Alligator mississippiensis: one gene and its partners. The protein of the gene in region 1 binds, or shares a complex with, the protein of each later gene. Links are inferred from orthologs where the notes say so. Each region holds a gene or a part of one and is shown on either strand. Other genes may lie near its edges.

What was found.
Region 2: IKBKG (region 1) and CHUK share a complex: the UniProt entries of both Homo sapiens proteins name them as parts of the I-kappa-B-kinase (IKK) core complex. The link is inferred for Alligator mississippiensis from reciprocal best matches to the Homo sapiens genes IKBKG and CHUK.
Region 3: the proteins of IKBKG (region 1) and IKBKB are in contact, whole or in part, in a crystal structure (PDB 3BRV), measured with the Homo sapiens proteins. The link is inferred for Alligator mississippiensis from reciprocal best matches to the Homo sapiens genes IKBKG and IKBKB. Residues at the interface, in NP_001093327.1 of Homo sapiens: Arg62, Ile65, Arg66, Asn69, Leu72, Arg73, Arg75, Cys76, Leu79, Phe82, Gln83, Gln86, Lys90, Leu93, Met94, Phe97, Ala100, Arg101, Val104; in NP_001547.1 of Homo sapiens: Ser705, Leu708, Glu711, Ala712, Leu715, Cys716, Leu718, Leu719, Ala722, Ile723, Asp725, Thr726, Glu729, Gln730, Gln732, Phe734, Leu737, Asp738, Trp739, Trp741.

Annotation. Positions count from the first base shown.
Region 1 is NC_081831.1:29,096,330-29,103,301, reverse strand, and holds the start of IKBKG (NF-kappa-B essential modulator), read right to left. Parts: upstream 3,057-6,972; 5' UTR 2,838-3,056; coding exon 2,681-2,837; intron 2,384-2,680; coding exon 2,193-2,383; intron 2,085-2,192; coding exon 1,995-2,084; intron 1,723-1,994; coding exon 1,612-1,722; intron 1,419-1,611; coding exon 1,354-1,418; intron 1,130-1,353; coding exon 1,073-1,129; intron 964-1,072; coding exon 852-963; intron 762-851; coding exon 643-761; intron 573-642; coding exon 420-572; intron 301-419; coding exon 204-300; intron 96-203; coding exon 1-95. Other genes in the region: G6PD (glucose-6-phosphate 1-dehydrogenase), read left to right, coding at 3,372-3,453, 3,868-3,995, 5,603-5,640, 5,717-5,825, 5,999-6,216, 6,668-6,826, 6,922-6,972. UniProt on the Homo sapiens protein: Regulatory subunit of the IKK core complex which phosphorylates inhibitors of NF-kappa-B thus leading to the dissociation of the inhibitor/NF-kappa-B complex and ultimately the degradation of the inhibitor.
Region 2 is NC_081829.1:10,062,012-10,069,119, forward strand, and holds the start of CHUK (inhibitor of nuclear factor kappa-B kinase subunit alpha), read right to left. Parts: upstream 3,047-7,108; 5' UTR 3,030-3,046; coding exon 2,901-3,029; intron 2,610-2,900; coding exon 2,515-2,609; intron 1-2,514. Other genes in the region: CWF19L1 (CWF19-like protein 1), read right to left, coding at 6,588-6,732.
Region 3 is NC_081830.1:17,229,665-17,237,563, reverse strand, and holds the start of IKBKB (inhibitor of nuclear factor kappa-B kinase subunit beta), read left to right. Parts: upstream 1-4,865; 5' UTR 4,866-5,025; coding exon 5,026-5,130; intron 5,131-5,517; coding exon 5,518-5,612; intron 5,613-5,756; coding exon 5,757-5,874; intron 5,875-6,564; coding exon 6,565-6,634; intron 6,635-7,899.

The DNA of each region.
Region 1 (6,972 bases):
TCCTTGAGCTTGTCGATCAGCTCCTGCTTGGCTACCAGTGCCTCTTCTGCCTGCTGCAGCTGCTGCGACAGCTCATCCAACTGCCACTCTAAGGCCTAGATAGGTACATGTGGTCTATGCTGCTGTCCCCTACCACCCTGGTGATGCAGCCCCAAGGCCAGGAGGATGACCCACAAACACGCGTGCCCCTGCTGGGGACCCACCTGGGCCCTCTTCTCGCCCTCTATGCTGTTCTTGATGTGGCTGTCATATTCCTGGAAGAGCTGGTGATAGGCCACCTGCAGCTGTGCCAGCTTCCGTCTGCAACAAGCAGACCATGGGGGTGTTAAAGGCAGCAGGTTGGACCTTTTCCACCAGCTCCAGCTCTGCCACCCCCAGCAGGTCCTCCTGGCATCCTTCCCACCTACCCCCCGCCTCACTTCTCCTCCGTGGCGCCCTGCCGCTCCACACGCAATGCTGTCTCCAAATTCTGGGCCTGTAGCCGCAGCTGGTCCAGCTGCACCCCATGCTGCTCCTGCAGAGCCTCCACGTCCCCCTCCAGCCGTCGGCACTGTTCCACAGCTGTCCGTGCCCTGCAAGGAGGCAGGGTATGAGCCAGTGCCCAGCCTTGGAGGTACCCTACACCCCCTTCGACACACTCACCGCTCTGCCAGTGCCTGCTTCTCATGCATGCAGGTCTCCAGCCGGCTCTGGCTCTCTTGCAGCTCACCCAGCAGTGAGGTCACCTGGGCCTTCACCGAGACCCTGTCTTCTGTCACCTGCTGTGGGGAGCAGCTGAGGCTGCATCAGCCCCAGCCTGCAGAGGCCCAGCTTGGATGCCCCTGCCCCAAGGGTGAGAGGGTAGTACTCACCTCCAGCTGCTTTCTTAGGGCCTGGAACTGCTGCTCTGTCTCCTGCCCCTGTGCTTTCAGTTGGCTCAGGTCCTCCCTGGCTGATGCCAGCTGCTGCTTCAGCTCAGCACACCTGGGGAAAGGGGGGGGGGGGGTGATAGTGACTGGTACAGTGCACCCATACTGCCTACCCCCCTTCCCCCAGGGATTCCATGGCACCCCCTGGGCTCCACTCAACACACTTGTTTTCAGTTTCCTCTAGCTTCCTGTGCAGCTCCTCAGCCTGGTCATCTCTGATCCTGGATTTGGGGTGGGGGGGGCAAGACAAAAGGGTGAGGAGCCCCCAGAGGGGGTTGCCTGCTTCACAGACACAGCCATCCTGCCCCCAACCCCTGTGCCTTTTCCCAAAAGGAGGCAACTGAGTGATCCAGGATCATCCCTCATCTTTGGGGAGTGGAAGGAGCATGGTGGGGCACCTGCAGGCTTCTTCCAGCCCCCCACTCAACACATGCATGGTTCTTACCTGTTGTTCCCAGCCCCTTGCAAGGATTCAGTCTTCAGGAGCTGCTCAGCTAGGGTACCGCTCTCCTGAACACACCAGAAACTGTTCAGCGCTGGCCCCAACCCCCATCACCAGCTCAACTGCCTGCCCTCCCCCCCCAGGAACAGGTGTCATGTCCTGCCACAAGGGGCCACGCTGCCTCCCTCAGTGGCCCCATCTCAGCTCACGGAGACAGGAGTCAGCCCAGATGCCTCCAGACCGCACCTCCAATACCCTCACCTTGACCAGCAGCCTCTGCTGCTGGGTCTGGTTATGCAGTGGCTTCTCTCCCAACAGGAGAGTGTCTGCTTCCTTCAGCACTGCCTGGTTCTCCTTGCTACGGTCAAGAGCCTGGGGGAGAGGGGAAGCAGGGTGGCAGGCAGGGGATGAAGGCCAGACATGTGTGCACCCCTGCAGTGGCTGCCTGTGTTCCCTCCAGCATCTTCTGCTGGGAGACAATAGGCCTAGCCAACCCCTCCCCTCCTCCCAAGCCCCCCCAGCCAGATCCCTTCCCCCTCAGCTGTTTAGGGGGATATGGAGCAAAGTTAAGATGGAGACAAACACGGGCACAGCAACCCAGACATCTAGGCTCATGCAGAACCTCTGGCCCCAGAAGCACTCACCATCAGCGCTACAGGCGTCTCATGGGTGAGAGTCACGGTGTCAGCCTCATCCAGCCCAGCTGGCTCCAGGGTGCATAGCAAGGATGGAGGCTGGGGGGGAGAATGAGACAGTGTCTCGGAGACCTTCTCCACGTGCCCCCAAGGAAGAGGGTGAGTGGGAGTGAGGGAGACCCACAGCATGACCCAGACCCCCAGTACCTGGCAGGCGCTGCGCAACCACTCAAGCTGTCGCCGCACCTCCAGCTGTTCATTCTGCAGCTGCTGCACCAGGGTGCGGGCCTCATGGAAGCGCAGCAGAAGGAAGTCACGCTCCTCACGCCGCATGGCCTGAACTTGCTGGAACTCCTGGCATCGCAGCCGTAGCGCTTGGTTGCCCTGCCGCAGAGCCTCTGCCAAGCCACGGGGGGAGCACAGAGGTGTCAGGACCCAGCCACACCCTCCCTGGAGCACCCTTCACCGGCCCCCAGCGCCACACTTTCACCAGCCCCAGATTGGGGAGGGGGGTTGCCGCTGCCCAAAGGCACTGTGGACTGCGTGCTCCTTGCCTGCTGAGGCCTCTTCAGGGGCACCGGGGAGGCCAGGCCGAGGCCGGAGCCTGGGCCCAGCCCAGGAAACAGCCGACGGCCGGGAGAGCCAGGTCGCGAGGGTGGACAGAGAATCCCCAGCCGAGCTCCCAACCCCCTTACCCTTGAGGTCCTGGTTCTCCGCGGCCAGGCGCTGCCAGGCCTCGGGGTCCGGCGCCTGGGGCAGGGCGTTGGCGTCAGCATCACCCGCGGGGCCGGCCCCATCACCGCCCCCGGGCGCCACCATGTCCGCGCTGCGCCGCCGGCGGGTCCCGCTCATCCAGCCCCGACGGGCCCCTTTGGGCGGAGGCGTGGGGGGGACGCCTCAGTTCGCTTGTTCTGGAATCAGGGCCCCGGACGTCTGGGTCCCACCCCTGTGGCGGGGCTCGGACGCTCAGGCCCCACCTCCAGGTGGGGGGAGGTCTGCCGCGATACCTGGCCGCTCTTGCGCCACTCCCGGCCCCGCGCCGTACTTCCTCCTTCCGGTCTCGGTGTTTTGTTTACCCCGGAAGTGTTACTAAGACGACCCGGAGCCGGAAGGAAGTTGGGAAGGGGCGTCGGGAGTTCAATGCACCATAGTCGGGAACTTCCGCCTCGGTATCTGTCATGGTGGTGCAGAGCGTGAGGCTGTGATGTCAGAGGCTTTGTGACAGCTCTCCCCGCGCCTCCCTTCCCTAATCTGGACGCTAGGTGGCCTAGCCCGGGAGAGCGGGGTTCAGTCGCGGGGCGAGCCAACCGATCGGCTTCGTCGCTGATTGGCTGGAGCGGAGAGGCAGGTCCGCGCTGGCTGCGAGGCGTGGCCGCAGCCTTGGCAATGGGGAGCCGCGAGCGGCGCCGCGACCCTGATACCGGCCACGGTCTGGATTCTTCTACGACTCCGACTCCGCAGCGGGCAGGTAGCAGCGGGTGCATGGTCCCCTCCCGCGGGGCGGGGCGGGGCTTGGGCACCTGGTCCCTTTCCCGGGGGACGGGGGATCCCGGACACGTGGGCCCTGTGGTGATGGCCCCTGCCCGAGTACCGTTGCGCTGGGGCTTCTCCGCTCCCTCCTGCCCCAGCCGAGCCCGCCCGCCACTTCCTCCTTTCCTGCCCCCCTTCCCCTTCTGCTTCCCCTTTCCCCTTCTGCCCCACCCCCACTTCCCTTTTCCCCTCTGCGCGGCCCAGCCCTTCCCTTCTCTTCTCTAGCCCGGGCCTGTTGCAACAGGTGGGACCTACCTGGTTGGCCCGGCCGGGCCAGGCCAGGTGCCCCACCCCCGGCGCGTGGGCATGGGCCAGGCTGTCCCTGCTACACACCCCATTTCTTGCCCATCAGACCACACCATGGCCAAGCCACAGGAGCTCAGCCGCTCACAGGTGTGCGGGATGCTACGCCAGGAGCTGTGCCAGGGGCAGGACTTCCACCCCACTGATGCACATGTCTTTGTCATCCTTGGTGCCTCTGTGAGTAGTTCCCCTGTTGCCCCTGTCCACTGCTAGGGCCCCAAGCCCAGGAATGGTGTTGGGGTCAGGGCCTGGAAGCAGCCCCCGAGCTTAGGGCCCTGGAGCATGGCAGGGGCATCTCCATGGGGCCGTGCCCCTGCCCTCCCCCTGCATACCACCAGCCCCAGATGTGTGTGCCTGCCCCCTCCAAATACTACTAACTTCTGGCCCGGTCTCCTGCCCCCAGCACCCTCTGCCCCATGGCCAGAACAGTGCTCTTCTTTCCCTGGGGGGTTCCCACTGTCTCCCAAGAGCCTCTCCCTGTTGAGGGGGGTTGGGAGGAGTGACAACCTCCTCTGCTTCTATACTGCTTATTTGTGCACACAAGGAACTCAGGTATCCAGGATGCAAACCAGTTCTCCCTCTCTGCTGTGCCACGCTGGGGGCTGGGAGTGAGGTTGTGACCCTGGGAGGGTAGCTCCTAGCACCTGGGTCCACATATCCACATAAGAGAAATAACCAGGCACTCCCTAGGGGACCCAGGCTTTCAAGGGCTGGAGCCAGGCATGATGCAGCCCTGGGGTGGTGGAGATGGCCTGACCCCTTCTCCCTCCCACCAGCCTCGCAGGCTGGTGCTTTCAAACCCATTGCCCTGAGGTCACCCTCCCACCCTAGGGGAGCTGGTGCCTCCCACCTATGCCATCTGTGCCTCATGCTGCTGCTCCAAGCGTGGCCCCAGCAGGAGATTTTGGGTGGGTGGAGGTGGGGAGCGGACAGAGGGTACCCTGAGCACCCATTGCTGGGGGTGTCAGGGGAGCCTGGCTCTGCTAAGTCACCGTGAGTGCAGTCCTTGTGTCCCAGCCTGCCCCAATTAGCATGGGCCATGGAGCAACACACACACACCCCCTCTCCGTGGAAGCTACATACAGCTTCAGGGGCAGGGGATATTGGGAGAGGGTCTAGGACATACTGAGCCCTCCTTCCTGAGCCAGGATTGGGACCAGAGAAGCCTGGGGGCTGGGCAGTCAGCCAGCCAGTGCCCTGGGTAGGGGGAGGTTCTCCCTTGCCTTGAAGTGGGGAAATGGAGGCAGCCCTGGAGCTGGGCCTTGGGACCCTCCTCCCCCACCCCAGGCAGGTTTGGTGAGCTGTTGAGTGTTTGTGGTAGATAAAGGGCAGATAAAGGAGGTGCCAACACCCAGTGAGTCTCTGGCTGCCAGGGGATGCCTGGCTTCTTGCCAGCACCACCCCCCCATGCTTGCCTTTTGTCCAGGGCCCAGCCCCCTTGACTCAGCAGATTCCCATTGCTTAGCAATCCCAAATCTACCCCTTCCCTGCCCCTGGGCAGGCACAGCCTGGCATCAGTCCCAGTCCTATTGGGTGGCGTGAGAAGGCCGGCCACTGTGGGCGGGGGTAAGCTGCCCTGACCTAGATAGAGGCACAAAAGTCTCACAACAATGGGGCCAACAACAGTGCTGTGTCAGGAGAGGGGAGCAGGGTACAGCCCTTGGGAAAGGGACTGGGTTGGAGGGATCCTGGGCTGTGCCCCATTGTGATACCCCCCCCCCCCCCCCCCGCTTTTCTCTCTCTCTCTCTCTCTCTCTCTCTCTCTCTCTCTCTCTGTCCCCAAGGGCGACCTGGCCAAGAAAAAGATTTACCCAACAGTCTGGTAAGTGCCGATCCCTGCCCCCCATCCCTCTCCCAGCATTCCCACAGCCCTAATACACTGCCCCCTTCTACCACAGGTGGCTATTCCGTGACGGACTTCTGCCTGATGACACCTACGTTGTTGGCTTTGCCCGCTCTCAGCTCACCGTGGCTGACATCCAGCGTCAGAGCGAGCCCTACCTCAAGGTGGGCAAGCCCTACCTCTGTTCCTGCCCCAGAGCTGGGGTCTTGAGGGGGTGGATCCTGCAGCAGGGTGTTGGAGGTGGGAAGCTGTTTTGGGGTCCTCCCATGCCCTGGGGCTGGGCTCGTGTGTTGGGGTCTGGGTTCCTCTAGTGACAGGGCTTCTCCCCATGTGACAGGTGGTGCCAGAGGAGCGGGAGAAGCTGGAGGCCTTCTTCGCCCGCAACAGCTATGTGTCAGGGCGCTATGATGAGCCCGCAGCCTTTGCCCACCTGGACGCCCACCTGCGCAGCTTGCCCAAGGGCAGCCAGGCCAACCGGCTCTTCTACCTGGCCCTGCCCCCCAGTGTCTATGAGGATGTCACCCACCACATCAAGGAGGCCTGCATGGGCCAGGGGTGAGGTCGGGGGGCAGCAGGCCTGTGTGTGGCAGGCATGAGGTGCTGGGGGCTGAATGAGGGGGTGGAGGCAGGCCTGTGTGGAGTGTGGGCTGGGGAATGATATGGAAGGGGTCTATGTGGGGTAGGGGCAAGGGGTCAGAGGGCACAGGGCTGGTAGTGAGGGGCTGGGGACTGAATGGGGCAGGCCTGCATGGACCAGGGGTAAGGGGGTGGTGGCTGATGGGGAGGCAAATCTGTGTGGGGCAGGGGTGAGGAGCTGGGGAGCAGAGGTGGGGGTCAGAGGCCATGGAGCTGGAGGATGAATGGAGGGTGTGTATGAGCCAGGGGTGAGGAGCCTTACGGGGGTGGGGCTGGCAGGAAATCACAGGGCGGGGAGATGGGTGGCAGGGTTCAGGGCCAGCCCAGGCTGCAACCACACGTAACATGCCCCCTCCACCCCCTTCTCTAGGAGTTGGACACGGGTAATTGTGGAGAAGCCATTCGGCAAAGACCTAGCAAGCTCAGACAAGCTGTCAAACCACATCGCGGGGCTCTTCCGTGAGGACCAAATCTACCGCATCGACCACTATCTGGGCAAGGAGATGGTGCAGAATCTCATGGTGCTCAGGTCAGCACAGGGGAGGCCAGTCCTTGGCTGTGGGGACATGAGACCCCAACCCCTCCTATAGCCCTTCACGCACCCTGTGCTTTCCTCCTGGGCAGGTTTGGGAACCGGATCTTCGGGCCCATCTGGAATCGGGACAATGTGGCCTG
Region 2 (7,108 bases), on another chromosome or scaffold:
CAGCTCACGGGGCCCGTAAAAAACATAAAAAGTTAATATTTATCTGCCCCTGGCTGCCTGTCATATGGCCCTGGATGTCTTGCCAAAACTCAGTAAGCGGCCCTTTGCCCGAAATAATTGCCCACCTCTGGTCTAACAGTTAAGGGACTGGAGTTGAACTATGTGCCACAATTTCTGCCCCTGTCAAGTGGAAATAACTCTTTCCTCCAAGGCCCAGCCCCGGGATACTTCAAGGATGTTTGTGATGCACTCAGACACTCTGCTGTTCAAGTTTGTAGATTGGGAAAGCAAATGTTTACATCAGGGGCATGTGAAACACCCAACTGTTTTCCAAAACTAAAAAGAAGGAACAAAACTTGGGCACACTGAGATCATTTCCAGTTGAAGTACAGACATCCAGGTCAGAATCAATCAAGTGATTAAAAAGACTGCATAAAGTAAACTCTCTCAGTAGTTTATTTTAGCTTTACTTCTACCTGGGAAATAAAAACCTAGGAGAGAAGCTGGTTTCACACTCATGCATTCCATCTTTCCACCTCAATAGCACCTCAAACAGGTTTTCCTACCTTCTTTAACCTTTTCCCAGCTAGTTCTTTCAAAAAGCTATTAACTCTGTATCCATTTTTAATGTTTCCTCTCTCTTCCTTACCCATCTCCCCCACATACCATGTCTCTCCTTTCTATCCCTAGCTCCTTTCATTCCTTCCTCTTCTACCCCTTCTTCTTGGTGGACTTTAATCCCTCTCTCCACCTTTAGTGCTAGTCTGGCCTTCAGAAGGAAGTTATCTATAGCCTGCCTATCCACAGAAGATAAAAATTAGGGAACTTCCAAGTCCCAGCAAGAAATCCTCCCTTTTCTTTTAGCTAGGGTGGTACAAGTCCTCTGTCTCTAAAGACAGGGTCTGCCCTTGACTTTCCTGAGGACTGTGACCAGATCCTGCATTCTTGTGGGACACCACCCAGGGGAACCTCATATCCTCTGACCACTCCCTCAATTAGTCCAAGTCACCCCTGCCCTCCCTCTCAAAGAGATTCTTGTGTCAAATGTCTCTCCAAAGTCCCACAGTCCATTTCTACTTCCAGGAAGTTCACCGCAAGAAGATGGATTGTTATAAAGCAGCAACAGACTTGTTCTTTGGAAACTGCTGCTAATGTGACAAAACTGCTCCAGCACCCCAATGATTTTCTCTGTGGGCCAAATATGCAGCTTTAACCAGTTAAAATAGAAAATTTCTGGAAGCGGAGTCTGAGGCAAACCCTATCTAAACCAGAGATGATATCCTTCCCCCACCAAGCCCTCAGTTCAAGGGAGCTGCTTTAAGCACTGCATAGTCTTATGCCAAGGTCACATCTGCATGCAGCCCAAAATTCTCCTATCAAACTTCAGGCTGCCCCAACCATGCTCTCAGGGCCACCAAGAAGCATTTGCTAGGAAGGCAGGGAACAGTGTTATCTGGCCAAATTTTTGTAATTAATTCTCCCCTACCCAAAGGGAGGTAGACAATCACAGCAGCCTGGGAATCCTACGGTGCAGATCAGCTGAAGCAGAGCCTACTGCTGCGTTTCCTGCTGGAACTGCCACTATAGATTTCATAAACGTTAGGGCTGGAAGGGACCTTGTAAGATCATCAGGTCCAGCCCCCTGCCCAAGGGGCAGGAAGTCAGCTAGGATCAAAAGATCCCAGAAAGATAAACATCCAAACGTTTCACGAAAGTGTTCAGAGTAGGTGCTTGCATCACTTCTGAGAAGAGCGTGTTCCAGACCTTGGGGGCTTGGACAGTAAAGAAGTTTTGCCTTACGTTCAGCCTAAAACGGCCTTGCAGGAGTTTGTGACCGTTGGACCTTGTCATCCCTTGGGGCGCTCTGGTGAACAGGCGTTCCCCCAGTTCCTGGTGCACACCCCTGATGTACTTACAGGCGGCCACCAAGTCACCCCTGAGCCTGCGCTTCTCCACGCTGAAGTCCCATGGCTTGCAGCCTCTCTTCACAAGGCCTGTTCTCTTGCCGTCTGATCATGCACATGACTCTCCTCTGGACTCTTTCAAGCTTCTCCATGTCCTTCCTAAATTGTGGAGCCCAGAACTGGATGCAGTACTCCAGCTGCAGCCTCACCAAGGCCGAATACAGCAGGAGAAACATCCTGGCTCTTGCTTGAGATGCGTCAGTAGACGCAAGCCAGGGTTTTGTTCGCTTTGCCAACTGCAGTATCACACTGGTGGCTCATATTCATCTTGTGGTCAATCATGACCCCCAAGTCTTTCGGTCACAGTGCTAGCGAGTGTAGCACTGCTGAGCCTATAAGTGTGATGTGGTCCATCCCCTCCCCGCTGAGGTGGAGCACCCTGCATGTCTATCATGGCCGCTCTCCAAGTGCTTCTCTGGCTACAACAGGCCACTGCAGACAGGCTAATCACCCACCTCACAAGTGAAGACTGCTTATGACGCACCGGTGCCCGAGCCACACGCAGTTCCCCCTGGATGGGAAGGGTAATAGGAAGCAGAGGCAGACTTACTTTTTCATGATCTGAATTTCATGGCACCACCGGTCCTTGTTTTTCACACTGAGCTCCAGACGGCAGGATTTAATCGCCACCTTCTCACCGGACTCCTGCAACACAAGAGCTGGGGGTGACTGGGCAGGCCACCGGGAGGGAAGGGGGTCACCGCTGGGGTCTGTTTCATTTCACCCCTTTCTCTGTAGCCTTTTTCAGGACAGTGGCACAAAAGCCAAACTAATTAGCAAACCAGCTGCATGCAGCCACAACGAGCACCCCTGGGTCCAGCACCCACCCACTGGACCGCGGGGGCCCCGGGATCCGCGCCCGGGCAGTGTTTGCGCAGGAGGGGGGGCAGGGGCGGTCTCCATGGCAACAGCCCCGGGCCCCGCCCCCGGCCACACCTGGTGCTGGTAGAGGCAGACGTTGCCGAAGCCGCCCGTGCCCAGCCGCTCCCGCATGTCCCAGGGGCCGCAGCCGCCGCTCGGCTGCCCGCGCAGCGCCGCGCCCACGCCCACGGCGCCCCGCTCCATGGCGCCCCCCTGAGCCGCCGCCCGACCCCGGCCACGACCCCGACTCCGGCCAGCCGGAAGTCAGCGGCTCTCGCGAGATCTCCTCCGCGAGAGCCGCCCCGGCCCTGAGCCGAGCCCCGCCCTGCGCTTGTACGTCACAGAACCGCGTCCTCCCCCAGCGGCCCAGGGGGCGGGGCTGGCGCCGGGCGGCCTCCAGCTATCCCACCATGCACTGCGTTCAGCACAGGCAGCTGGTGGGGGGCCTCACCCAAAGGCCTTGGGGTGGGAGCTGATGCAGGCCCGGGAGCCCTCCTGCCCCAAGCACCTGGTGGTGGGTCACCTCACATCCTGCCAGCAACCAGCACTGGGGGCCAGGGGAGCAGCATCATGCCCTGACTTGGCCCCTCCCCACGCTGCCAGGGCCCCTGCGCCCTGGCTTGGTTTAAGGCACAATGGAAACCAACCACAAACTTACCACCATTTTTGTGCCAAATTTGGATCTGTGGCTGAAGGACTAGACTCTTAAACCATCCCCGAGTCCCATCAGTGAGCCACGGCTGAACGGAGAGATTGTTCCTGCCACCTTAAACAGAGGGATCCTCGAACAGAGGGATCGTTCCTGCCACCGACATACTGCCCTGCATGACAATTAACCAGACATTTTACTTGCTCGCCTCCCAAGGACAATATCAGAGCCCCCCCATTGCAACCAATCTCACGTGTCCCATGCAAGCAGCCTGCCTCACTGCTGTGGCCCCTCCAGGCTGACAAGACCAAGCACAGCAACAACTCGGTCCCAGAGGAGGGAACTGATCTCGCAGTCCGGGGTCAGATCGACGTTCAACATGCACGCAGCTCCAGCCAGCAAGATAATAGCGTGCATCAGAGGACCACAAGGGAAATGGCAACTCGATTATGTGACCGTGGGTGGACCCGGTGCTGGTCTCAGTGCAGAGATCCCAAGCAGCAGGTCACAAAGACGGAAGGAAAAACAAACGGTTGGGTGAATAAAGTCTCGTGTCGCCACTACGAGGCACCATCACACATCTTTGTTGTCAGCAACACAGCAAACCTGAGGGGCACCACAGCAGTTCACACTGAGGACTTGGCCATGACCAGTATCGAACAGACACAGCCCTCCCAGGCCAGCACATCCACCCTGGTAAGTCCCAGCCCTTTCTACTGCCGCTGGTGCTCCCCCAGGAAGTTGATATGGGCTCAGACAACTACAACCAGGAGGTTCCTGCATCCTACTATATTCAGCATCCTAGCCACCTATCCCCCTCAAGCAGTGATTCTCAACCAGGGTGCCAGGGCACCCTGAGGTGCCTTGAGATCCTTTCAAGGATGCTGTGCAATGTTAGCACTGTTAGGTGTGCAGATGTGATTCATGAGATAACTCCAGAGGTTTCAAGTAGGAATCCATAACATTAAAAGTATTCTGACTCGTTGTGGTCTTTCTGAGTTCTTTGGAATAGAAAAAAACACCAAACACTCTATTTTTCCGTTGTCAGAAACAAATGAAAACTTAGAACTGGCATTTTCTGATGTGCGTCTCAAGTCTATTAAGTGATGCTTCAAGACTAAAAAGGTTGAGAACCACTGCACTAGACAGACCAGGTACTCCAGAAGAACCAGCTCTCTACCTCCCTGTGCTAGTGTGAGGGGAGGGGAGTGGAGGCTGGGAGGGTAAAGTGGGGCTGGGGCAACAAACCCAACTAACCCCCCCAGCCCAGCACAGGGAATGCAGGGGGCTAGCAGGTTAAGCTGCAGACCAAATCCAGCTGCCTTGAGTGGAAATGGTCCCCCTGCCAACACTTCCCAACTCCAGCCTCATTCCCAACCCCCTTACAGTGCTAGCCCAGCAGCACTCAGCCAATGATTTGCCCCCAACCCCCTTGCCACCCAAGACAGACCGGGCTTATAAATGCCCCTCCAGCATCCCCCACCCCTGCATGAGCTGAAAAAGACTACATGAACCATTGCATTCAGATTACACTGTTTACTGGGGTCTGGTACTTCATTACAAACATATCAAGTGTTTTTGACAACAGACAAGAACTGAGGGATGTGCAGAATGGCAGGGTCTCTTGGTCCTTGGGTTCTGCACCACAGAGCTGCTCCCAGCACCATGCCCTGTGATGAGCTGAAGGGGGGCAGAATGGGGAGAGGGGGAGCATGAGTCAGAGCAGCAGCACAAATGTGAAGGACATTGAAGCACAATCCCTCCTGCAATGATTTTACCATCCCCATCCAGTTACCATTCTCCACCCACCCACTTAAAATTTCACCACCCACCACTTTGAACAACCAGTGGAGAGGCCCCATCTACAGTACACTTAAGTCATGACTTAGCTGATTAATCATGTCTTAAGTGGTCACCCGGCCACATGTTCAGTTACTGGCATGATTAAAAAAGAAAAGAAAAAAGCTAGGAAGTTATTCTACAAAATTTGTAGCAACTTTGCAGCTGCACCTATCATGCCATTACTTAAATGTGTAGCCAGGGGGCCCTGTGACTAAGAGCCCCGTCAGCTGAGCAAAGCTCCTAGCTGCAGGAAGCCATGTGTACCCCCATGGCTCGGAGCCCTGCCAGCTGAGGGGGCTCCTGGCTGCAAGCTTGCTTCTTGCCCATGCAGGGGGAGCCTGGGATTGGGTTCCCCCTGCACCAGCAATAAGGCATGATGGGATCTTATCCATACCACAGTCACACCTCCTGCAAATGCACATGTAGCACAGCTGGACAGGTGATTGTGCATTAGATCCCACTGCACCCTTACCTGAACCAGAAGAGCAGCCCAGAAGGACCAGGCGTTGTGCATGCTGGCCATAGTCTGCCTGTTCTCTCAGGCCCCCTGCAGCAGAAGGGCAGCAGTATACTCAGCCACCTTGTGAGCCACTTTAGAAACAAGATACGTTTCAGTGGTGCGATTTCTTTGCTGAGAGACATGCTGCAGTACACCCTGAGCGACACCAACTGCATCATATGTTTCCACACTCAGGGCAGTGCAGTCTGGGTCACTGCAGATGTCAGGTCTGCTTAGGCCACGGCAGCAATCTTGCCACCCCCCACCAGCTCCCTCCTGATAATGTCCTTTCCTGGACCATGTGCTCACCCATGACAACTGCTCCAAAATTTATCTGACTGTGGCAGGACCAGCCTTGCCCCAGCCCCACAGACAGGTCCTACGCTATTTGTGTACCATCAACACCACTCCAGGGCCTCAGCTGCATCCAGCACTGCTTGAAGCTTGCCTAGGAAACCAACCAACCAGACCACAGAGAGAAATAGAGTTTATTCCTTTGATTAAAAATCTCAGCAAAAAGTACAGCCTGCTCCAGGGCTCTGGTCCTCCTGCTGTCAAATAGACTAAGAAGGGAAATCCTTTGCCCCATTATGCCTTGCAGTTGGACTGTTCACTTTTAACCTCAGTTCTGCACAGGAGTTGAGTCAGACCAGAGCGAAACTCAGCAACAAGTACAGTGTTAAAATGAATGATGGTGATGAACAGGAACAGGACAGCAGTGCTCTTGGCAAGACAGTCCTACCACTGAGTGCTTCCCACTGGAAAAGCAAAGTTACTGCAGCAAAGAAAAGTCAAAAGGTTCAAAGTCCTCTCGAAAGGCTTTGGACAATGCCTCCTCCTCTTCTCTGGTGGACTTGCACTGCCTCCAGTCTGCCCGATCTGGAATATTCAGGATAGCTTCACTAGCCAGGACTTCCCTGTAACCAAAACAATCAGCTGCAGAACTGTTGCAATCTTTGAAGTGCAAGCACATTGCTAGAAATAATAAGACTACAAAATCAAGTACTGTGGGGGCTATCTAAAGACTCATGTTGAATTTAATAGAAAAACTGCCATTTAATTCACGGGGAACGCATCTGAATTGCATTTGAAAGGAAGCAATTCTTATTATTAATTTAGAAATAGGTCTATATAGAGGCATTACCTGCTTCTTTGCTAAAAAGGACAATTTACTGGTAAAAAGTAAATGCAACTAAGACAATACTTTGTACAAACATGATTCTTAATCTCCACACTGAACTTTTCCAGTTCAAACATTTTAAAACGATTTGAATGTAGGGACAGAGATCAGAA
Region 3 (7,899 bases), on another chromosome or scaffold:
TCTGAGGCACCTGCCATGAGCTCAGCTAATTAGAGGCATTCCTCAGATTCCTGAAAAAGGATTCACCCTGTGTTGAGCGCTGTTGCTTGGAGCTACCTGGCTCCCATGATTAATTACTGACAGCCTTGGCTCCCCCGATCCAGAGGAGGAAGCCAGTTGTGCTGTAAATGAGTAACAGGAGCAGCCATAAATGCTGTTCTCATATGGAGTTAGGGCTGGGGCAGCCAGGATGTGAGAGCCTGGAAATGTCAGGGGAAGTCATATCTTTAACTGCCTGTTGTTGGTCCAATAAAAGATACTGCCTTGGTAGCTGATGAAGCAATGAGCCATGCCATTCCACGCCCCAAAATACCGAAACGCAAAGTTTAATGTTGCCTGTGTGCTGTTGGAAGTCCTCTTTGCAGTCTCTCTAGCAGACCTCAGCCTGGTCAAGCTTGCACTGCTCAGCAAATAGTTCTCGGGGTAGCGGGGAGGCTTTGAATCATTAACACATCCCTCTCCCCTGGGAACAGCATTACAGTGTTGCCAGGCTGCAGCCTGGGACGCTTCCTGGATACTCCATTTAGGCTGTGCTGGCTCTGAATTCCTGTCCCTTTGTTTTCCCTCCCTCTATTGCCCCGCTCCATGATCTCTGACTTGGGATTAGTGGGAGCTTCACACAATTGTTCTGTGATGTGCTGGGGCGGGGCAGGGGGCAGCAGCTTTCCTTTCCCATTGGCTTGCCAGTTCCTGCCCCAGCTGAGCTCTTGCCTGGCCCGAATACCCCTGGAGCAGTTGGTTCCCTGAAGCGATGTGGAATGTTTAATCTTCTCTGTCTACAGGACACAGATGCAGGGAGCAGTTTTGTCTTTGTACACAGACACGTTCTGACTTGTTTGGTTGGGATCTGGATTTTAGAAACAAGAGCAATTAACTTCCAACGGTTAATCCAGAATCTGGGGAGGGCCACGCAGGGGAATCCCAGCCGACCAGGAGCTGAATCCTTTGCTGGACTGCAGCTGGGGGCTGGGCAGGCAGCAGCTGGTTTCTCTCCATGCCCGTTGTGTCACATTTGTGGGGGTTTTCACTGCACACTTAGCTGAATCCTTCTTTCGGTGATGCAGCTCATCAGCTATTTATTGTACTCTGTCTTGCCCTTTAGCTACCTGCTGCCCAGCACAGGCCGTTCCCTGGGGCTGAGGGAACAGGGAGTCTCTGAGCGTGGGGAGTCGAGCACAGGGAGCTTTTCTGAACCACCATGGGAACAAGACAATGACTGGATGAGAGGAAGGGCATCCGTGGCATAAATGCACATTGTCTGGGTCTGGTGCTTTGGCTAATTCCTCTTTTCCTTCTTTGTAATTACTTACTCATTAAATTTCTGTCCCCCCCCCTATCCAAGAGGTTCGGAGCCTCACTGTAAATGTGTGACCAACTCTGTCATTTACCCACATCCCTGCAGTACTGGTCACAGGGGAACTCTGGCATGTTGACAGCAGCCACCATGGAGAGACTAGTCTAGGCAAGCCCAGCTGTTCAGTCCCTTGTGAGAAAGTACATTTAATAATTAGACAAAGCAGGATTTTGAAGTAGAAATAACTGAGGCAGCCCCTGAACAGCAGAGCTGCCCCACAGAGCCAAGGGCAGGATTACAACATCACAGAAACGGAAGTGCCATTGCTGCCTTGCATGGGGTAGGGCAAAAGCAGCTTCAGTGAACCTCTTTGTCTTAGCAGTACCCTACAGTGATGGGCAGGGACCAGCCAGTGACCTCCATTGTGAGACACAGAGACCGGCTTTTGAGGTTCACTATGACCTGTGAGGACCAGCTGGCAATGAGTTACGGTTGTCGCGGTTTTGGGCAGCTCGTTTCCGAGCAGTCGCTGCCCATTTAGAGCTGACCTTTTCATGCTTCAAGAGAGTGGAGCTGGCCTGGGTTGCTTGGCATTTTCCTGAAGGCTGCAAGGAAAATGGTGAGGGCGTATTCCAAACATTGCATCCCAAGCTGAGCACAGGGTGTACCCGTGCGGCGCTAGGGGCCTAGCTGAGGGTCTGCTCTGGGTAGGAAGACAGTGCCTGTGGTTGGTATTGTGTTACGTGTTCTGACAAGCCATGTCCTGCGAGGAGCCCTGGCAGAAAGCAGATGCAGGTTTTGTGCCTGCATCTCAGGGAAGGTTTGGCTCCAGTGTTTCTCTGCAGCAGTAATCTTTGTTTTTTTGCTTGTTTAGCTTGCCTACATATCTCCTTTCTGATAAACTCCCTCTATGCCTCCCTCTGCACCTGTGTCTCCGCATATTTGCACGTTTCCCGTATGTTGCTCCGTGTGGAATGCATCTCCTCGGCCAGCGGGGCCTGCTGCCCAGCTCCATGTGCGTGAAGAGACCCCTCGTGTCATGCGTCCGTGCAGAGAGCCAGATTGCTCTTGCTGTGGGAACTGGCAGTTTGACTCTGGAGCAAAGGAGAAGTAATGATCCCATGGGGTCCTGGGCACCCAGTCAGTATGCACAGGTGCCCCACATCTCCTGTGCCAGGCCTGGAGGCTGTCTCTGTTACAGTGGAGCCCTTTGTGTTTTGGGGCGGGGAGGATGGTATCAGGTTGCAATTTAAAGATGCTTTGGATGGAGATCATGCCAGATCACTGTTTGTTAACAAGTATAAGCAAACATTGTGCTCCTTCTGGAGTTTACAGTCCAATGGACGTCAGAGGAAGTGCCACTGTACATGACATGTTCGCTTAGCACATAGATGGGACCCTCCCTCCAAAAACGATCCTCTGTGACTCTCACCCCCAGGAAAGTACTCTTTTCTCCCATACCTTGCCCAGCTGCAGTTACAGTTCCTCCTACGTGCTGCCAACTAGGTGCCTGGCACTTGTTGGCACCTGGAAAAGCAGTGATGCTAGCTGGATTCACTCTTTCCTGTGACGGGGAGAAACTGGACTCCTCCACTGAGCAAAGGTCCTGTTTTCTTCACTGGCTGTAAGCAGGGGCCCTGCCTCTTTATAGGCTGCTAGCTATAAGCCTCCTGGATCTCCCTCCCTCCTGATTTCCTTTCCCTTGGGCAGACTGAGGAGTATAATTTCCATGCACTCTGCAGTTTGCGCCAGCCACCACTTGCTCTCCACCCTCCTCTCAAACCCCTCGCTGGCCCTATCTCCTCTGAGAAAAGAAGCAACTTCTCACAGAAGTGCTTCAGGCCTCTTCTTGCTACCACCTTCCAGCAGTATCCCTCTCTGTCCAACATGAAATGTGGCTCTTTCCTTTCTCAAAGTGAACCCTGAGTCCTCTCTGACATTCCTTTTCCACCTGACCCTTCTTAGCCCTTGATTTCACATCCTATGGCAGGTCATCTCCTGTGTATAATCTCTGACCATAGAAGAAATGGGTCAAGAGGGGCCTGCCCTGCTTGGTGTACTGGTGTACTTGGAGCGCTTGTGAGCATCCTTTGTCCCAGAGCACTGAAGATGCTCAGCTGGTGGGCGCCGGCATCTGTGGATGTCATTAGTCCCTGAGCTCCCATGCGAGTACAGCAGCCACTTCCCCTTGTTGACCAGCCTCCTTGAACTTGAGGCTACCCTCTGCTCCGAGGTTCGGATCCTACCACCGCAGAGATGCTGCTTTCTTGGCAGTCATGCCTGGACATGTTACCAATATGACCCCAGTAATTGGCAGCTGGTGCCATCTGTGCTGGACCCCCCTCCAGACCAGTAGTTGGTAGTAGTAGAAACTTCTTTTGGAAACGTTTGACAATAGCTAATCCTTCCAGTAACCCAGTGATGTAAGTCAGCATTGCCTATGCTACCCATTACTATACCCGAACCTTTCCTAATTTCATAATCAGCCACCCCCTTTTGCATTCCTCTGGGTCCTCAAATGAATGGACACATCACATCCGATTTGCTCATCAAGGGGGAATTCCTCAGCTGGCATGACTGAGGTGCTATGCAGGTGTGGCAGACCCTGGCCCTAGCTATCTGCCTGGCTTCAGGTGGAGCTCACCTGGCCAGAAGACAGTGGAGGGGCACTGGCCTTCACAGGAGCGGGAGCTTAGCCTCCGCTGGTGGCCCAAGTGAGGTGGGCTCTTTGTCCCTGTGAAAGCTCATTTGAGAAGCTCTAAGTGCCTCCACTCTCCACTTCCCCTTTTTCTTGCTGCAGGGTGTGAACAAGACAAACAAGTGACGGAGCTAGCTGGAGGAAAAGAAACTGTGACTCAGGGCTGCGGCTCCCAGGCCTCCTAGGTCACCCCTGTGGAATGAGGCCCCGGATGGCCCCCAGGTAACCAGTCTCCGGGGCTAGGTTCAGTGAGAAGTGGCAGGGATGGGTGGCGGGAGGGGGAAGCGGGGGTAGACGAAGTCCAGGAGCAGGTGCTGGGTGGCTGCCGGGCAGGACCTGCCGCCCTCTGAGCGCCAGCGAGACCCAGGCCCTGTGCTGTAGCCCTGGGGGTTGGAAGGATGCCCAGGCAGGGCAGGCCTGCAGGAGCATAACGCTGCCCGTGGCCTGCCCTGTCCGGCTCCTGCTGTGCCGCAGGCAGCTCATGTCACTAGCTGCCTGGGGCCAGCGGGCTCCTGGGGCGAGCTGGCACCACACCCTGTGCCACGCTGCATCCTGCATGCCACCGCATCCTGCCTTGGCACCCCACCCTGCATGGCACCCCACCCAGTGGGCTGTGTGGCTCCGGGGTCCCTGGGTGCAGCAGGGCCTGCGCTGTCGTCAACCCACCGCCCCTGCCCTGCCCTGCCCGCAGCTGCTTCCCCCGGACCAGCGCCGCTCCCTGCAGGACACGTGGGCGCAGCGCGACCTCCGGCCCGCAGGGGGCGCTCGAGAGCCGAGCGCGCCTTCCTTCCCCGCGCTACGGCGCCTGCGTGGCCGGGCCCCGCCGTGACGTCAGAGCCAGGCACAGTGCGGAAGCGGCGCGCGAAGCGAATCCGACCCCGCAGACCGCGGCCCCCCCCCCCCTCCTGCCCGTCCCGCCCACGCGTGTCCGCGGCGCGAGTGCGGCCCCCGCTGAGCCGGCCTGGCTGGGCCGCCCTGTCCCGGCAGCGGCAGCATGAGCCGGCCGCCATCGCTGCAGACGCAGACGTGCGGCTCGTGGGAGATGAAGGAGCGGCTGGGCACGGGCGGCTTCGGCAACGTCATCCGCTGGCAGAACAAGGTGCGCCAACCCTCAGGACCTGGGTATCCCCCCCGGGGGCTCCCAGCATCACAAATGTCAGCGCGTTCATTAAACACGGGGTCCGATTCGCGTGGTAGTCCAGGAGCGTCCTAAAAAGTAGCGGCTGCGTGCGATTGCCTTCCTGGCATAAAGTCGGCGCGCCGCGACCTGTAACCGATGCGCGCAAGCGTCGTGTCGCGGGCACGCTGGAAACCTCCCACGATAGATTGGAGAGTTGGTAACCTTCGCCGCGCGGCGCCGGGCCCGTGCGAGCGCCGCTTGCCGAGCCGTGTCGCTCGAATGGCCCGGGCGGGCTCGGCGGCTGGCCCTGGCACGGCCGTGGCGCTCACCCGTTGTTGTTGCGCGCGTTTGCTTTGTGCCGCCCAGGACACGGGGGAGCAGATCGCCATCAAGCAATGCCGCCAGGAGCTGAGCCCGCGCAACCGGGAGCGGTGGTGCCTGGAGATACAGATCATGAAAAGGTCAGGGTCCTTGTCCCAGGGTGCACCTGCCTCCGCTGTGCAGCTGCTATTGCTCAGGCGTTTGCACGTGCACCCTGTCTAGGAGCAACCTGTGGTGAGTCGGTTCCTGCCATCACACACTTCTACCCTCTTGTCCTCCCCTAGGCTGAATCACGCCAACGTGGTTGCTGCCCGTGAGGTCCCCAAGGGGATGCAAAATCTGGCACTGAATGACCTTCCGCCTCTGGCCATGGAGTACTGCCAGGGGGGAGACCTCCGCAAGGTGGGGCCCCTGGCTGGATGGGCGGGATAGCCATCGAGCACTGCAGAAATGAAAGGCTTCCCTTGAGTTTTCATGCACTGTTGCCATCATGTCTTCCTGCACTCACCAGGACTGTGCCTGCTGCCACCTCCCCTGCCCTTGGCAGGCTTGGTCCTGCACGAGTTCTCATCCCCTTCCTTGGTCTGTAAACACTTCCCATTTCTACTGGGTAGGCAGTGTGGGTCAGCCTGCGGGGTGCCCACACGGGCGTGTGCAAGAGACAGACAACAGGATGTGAGCAGGGCCTAGAACGTCATGGAGCAGGTTGTGCCAGTGGGTGGGGTCCTGTGGGGAACTGATAAACCCCTCTCGGTCACAGGGCGGAAAAACACATAGGGCTGGATCAATCTTTTTTTTAATTTTTTTTTTTAATCTTTGTGAGCAGCCCCAGCACAGATTTTGCTCAGAGGATAGGGCCATGATTAGGGGACCTTGTCCTGAGCTGGTTGGGCCAAGTGTGTTCAGATATGGGGATGGGCCCTGGAGGGGTTGCTGGCTGGAGGAGCTGGCAGAGAAGGGAAAGGGTAGGTCTGGAGCACGTCTGAGTTGATCATTCTGCAAAGGTCCCGACCCTACAGAAGCTCCTGCTTGCAAGTAGCATGTGTAGGCTGGGTGCGGCAGATTTGTGATATGTTGCCTTGCTCCCTCCAGTACCTGAACCAGCTGGAGAACTGCTGCGGCCTGCGGGAGGAAGCCATCCTGACGCTGCTCTCAGACATTGGTAAGGGGCCACGTGGCCTGTGACAATCCCTGTGTGGGAAGGCAGGCATTTCTGTCCTGCTAGCCCTCTCCACCTGAGGGAAGTAGAGCTGTGACCCTGGATGTTCCCATTCATAGATGTTAGGGTCGGAAGGGACCTCAATAGATCATCGACTCCGACCCCTGGCATAGGCAGGAAAGAGTGCTGGGTTCAGATGACCCCAGGCAGATGCCTATCTAACCTCCTCTTGAAGACCCCCAGGGTAGGGGAGAGCACCACCTCCCTTGGGAGCCTGTTCCAGATTTTGGCCACTCGAACTGTGAAGAAGTTCCTCCTAATGTCCAGTCTAAATCTGCTCTCTGCTAGCTTGTGGCCATTATTTCTTGTAACCCCCCCAGGGGCATCTTGGTGAGCAGAGCCTCACTGATGCCCTTCTGTGCCCCCAGGATGAATGGATGGGCAGCCACAGGTCGCCTCTCAACCTTGTCTTGTGGAGCCTGAAGAGGTCCAGGTGTCCCAGTCTCTCTTCATAGGGCTTGTCCTGCAAGCCCTTAACCATATGAGTGGCCCTTCTCTGGACCCTCTCCAGGTGATCCACATCCCTCTCGAAGCGCGGCGCCCAAACCTGGACGCGGTACTCCGACTGTGGTCTAACCAGTGCCCGATAGAGGGGAAGTATCACCTCCTTGGTTCTGTTTGTCATGCATCTGCTGATGCACGATAAAGTGCAGTTAGCTTTGCTGATGACTTCGTCACACTGACGACTCACGTTCATCTTGGAGTCCGCTAGGACTCTGAGATCCCTTTCTGCTTCTTCCGTGCTACCGAGCAGGTCATTTCCTAGGCAGTAGGTGTGCTGGACATTTTTCCTTTCTAGGTGCAGCATTTTGCATTTCTCCTTGTTAAATTGCATTTTGTTGTTTTCTGCCCATTTGTCCAACCTGTCCAGGTCTGCTTGTAGTTGTTCCCTGCCCTCCGGTGTGTCCGCTTCTCCCCACAGTTTTGTGACATCCGCAGACTTGGACAGAGTACACTTCACTCCCTTGTCCAAGTTGCTGATGAAGACATTGAAGAGTATCGGTCCAAGGACCGAGCCCTGTGGGACCCCACTGCCCACGTCCTTCCAGGTCGATACCGACCCGTCCACCGCTGCTCTCTGGGTACAACCCTCTAGCCAGTTTGCCACCCACCGGACTGTGTAATCATCCAAGTCACAGCCTCTTAATTTGTTCACCAGTATGGGGGGAGATACCTTATCGAAGGCCTTCCTGAAGTCTTAAGTAGAC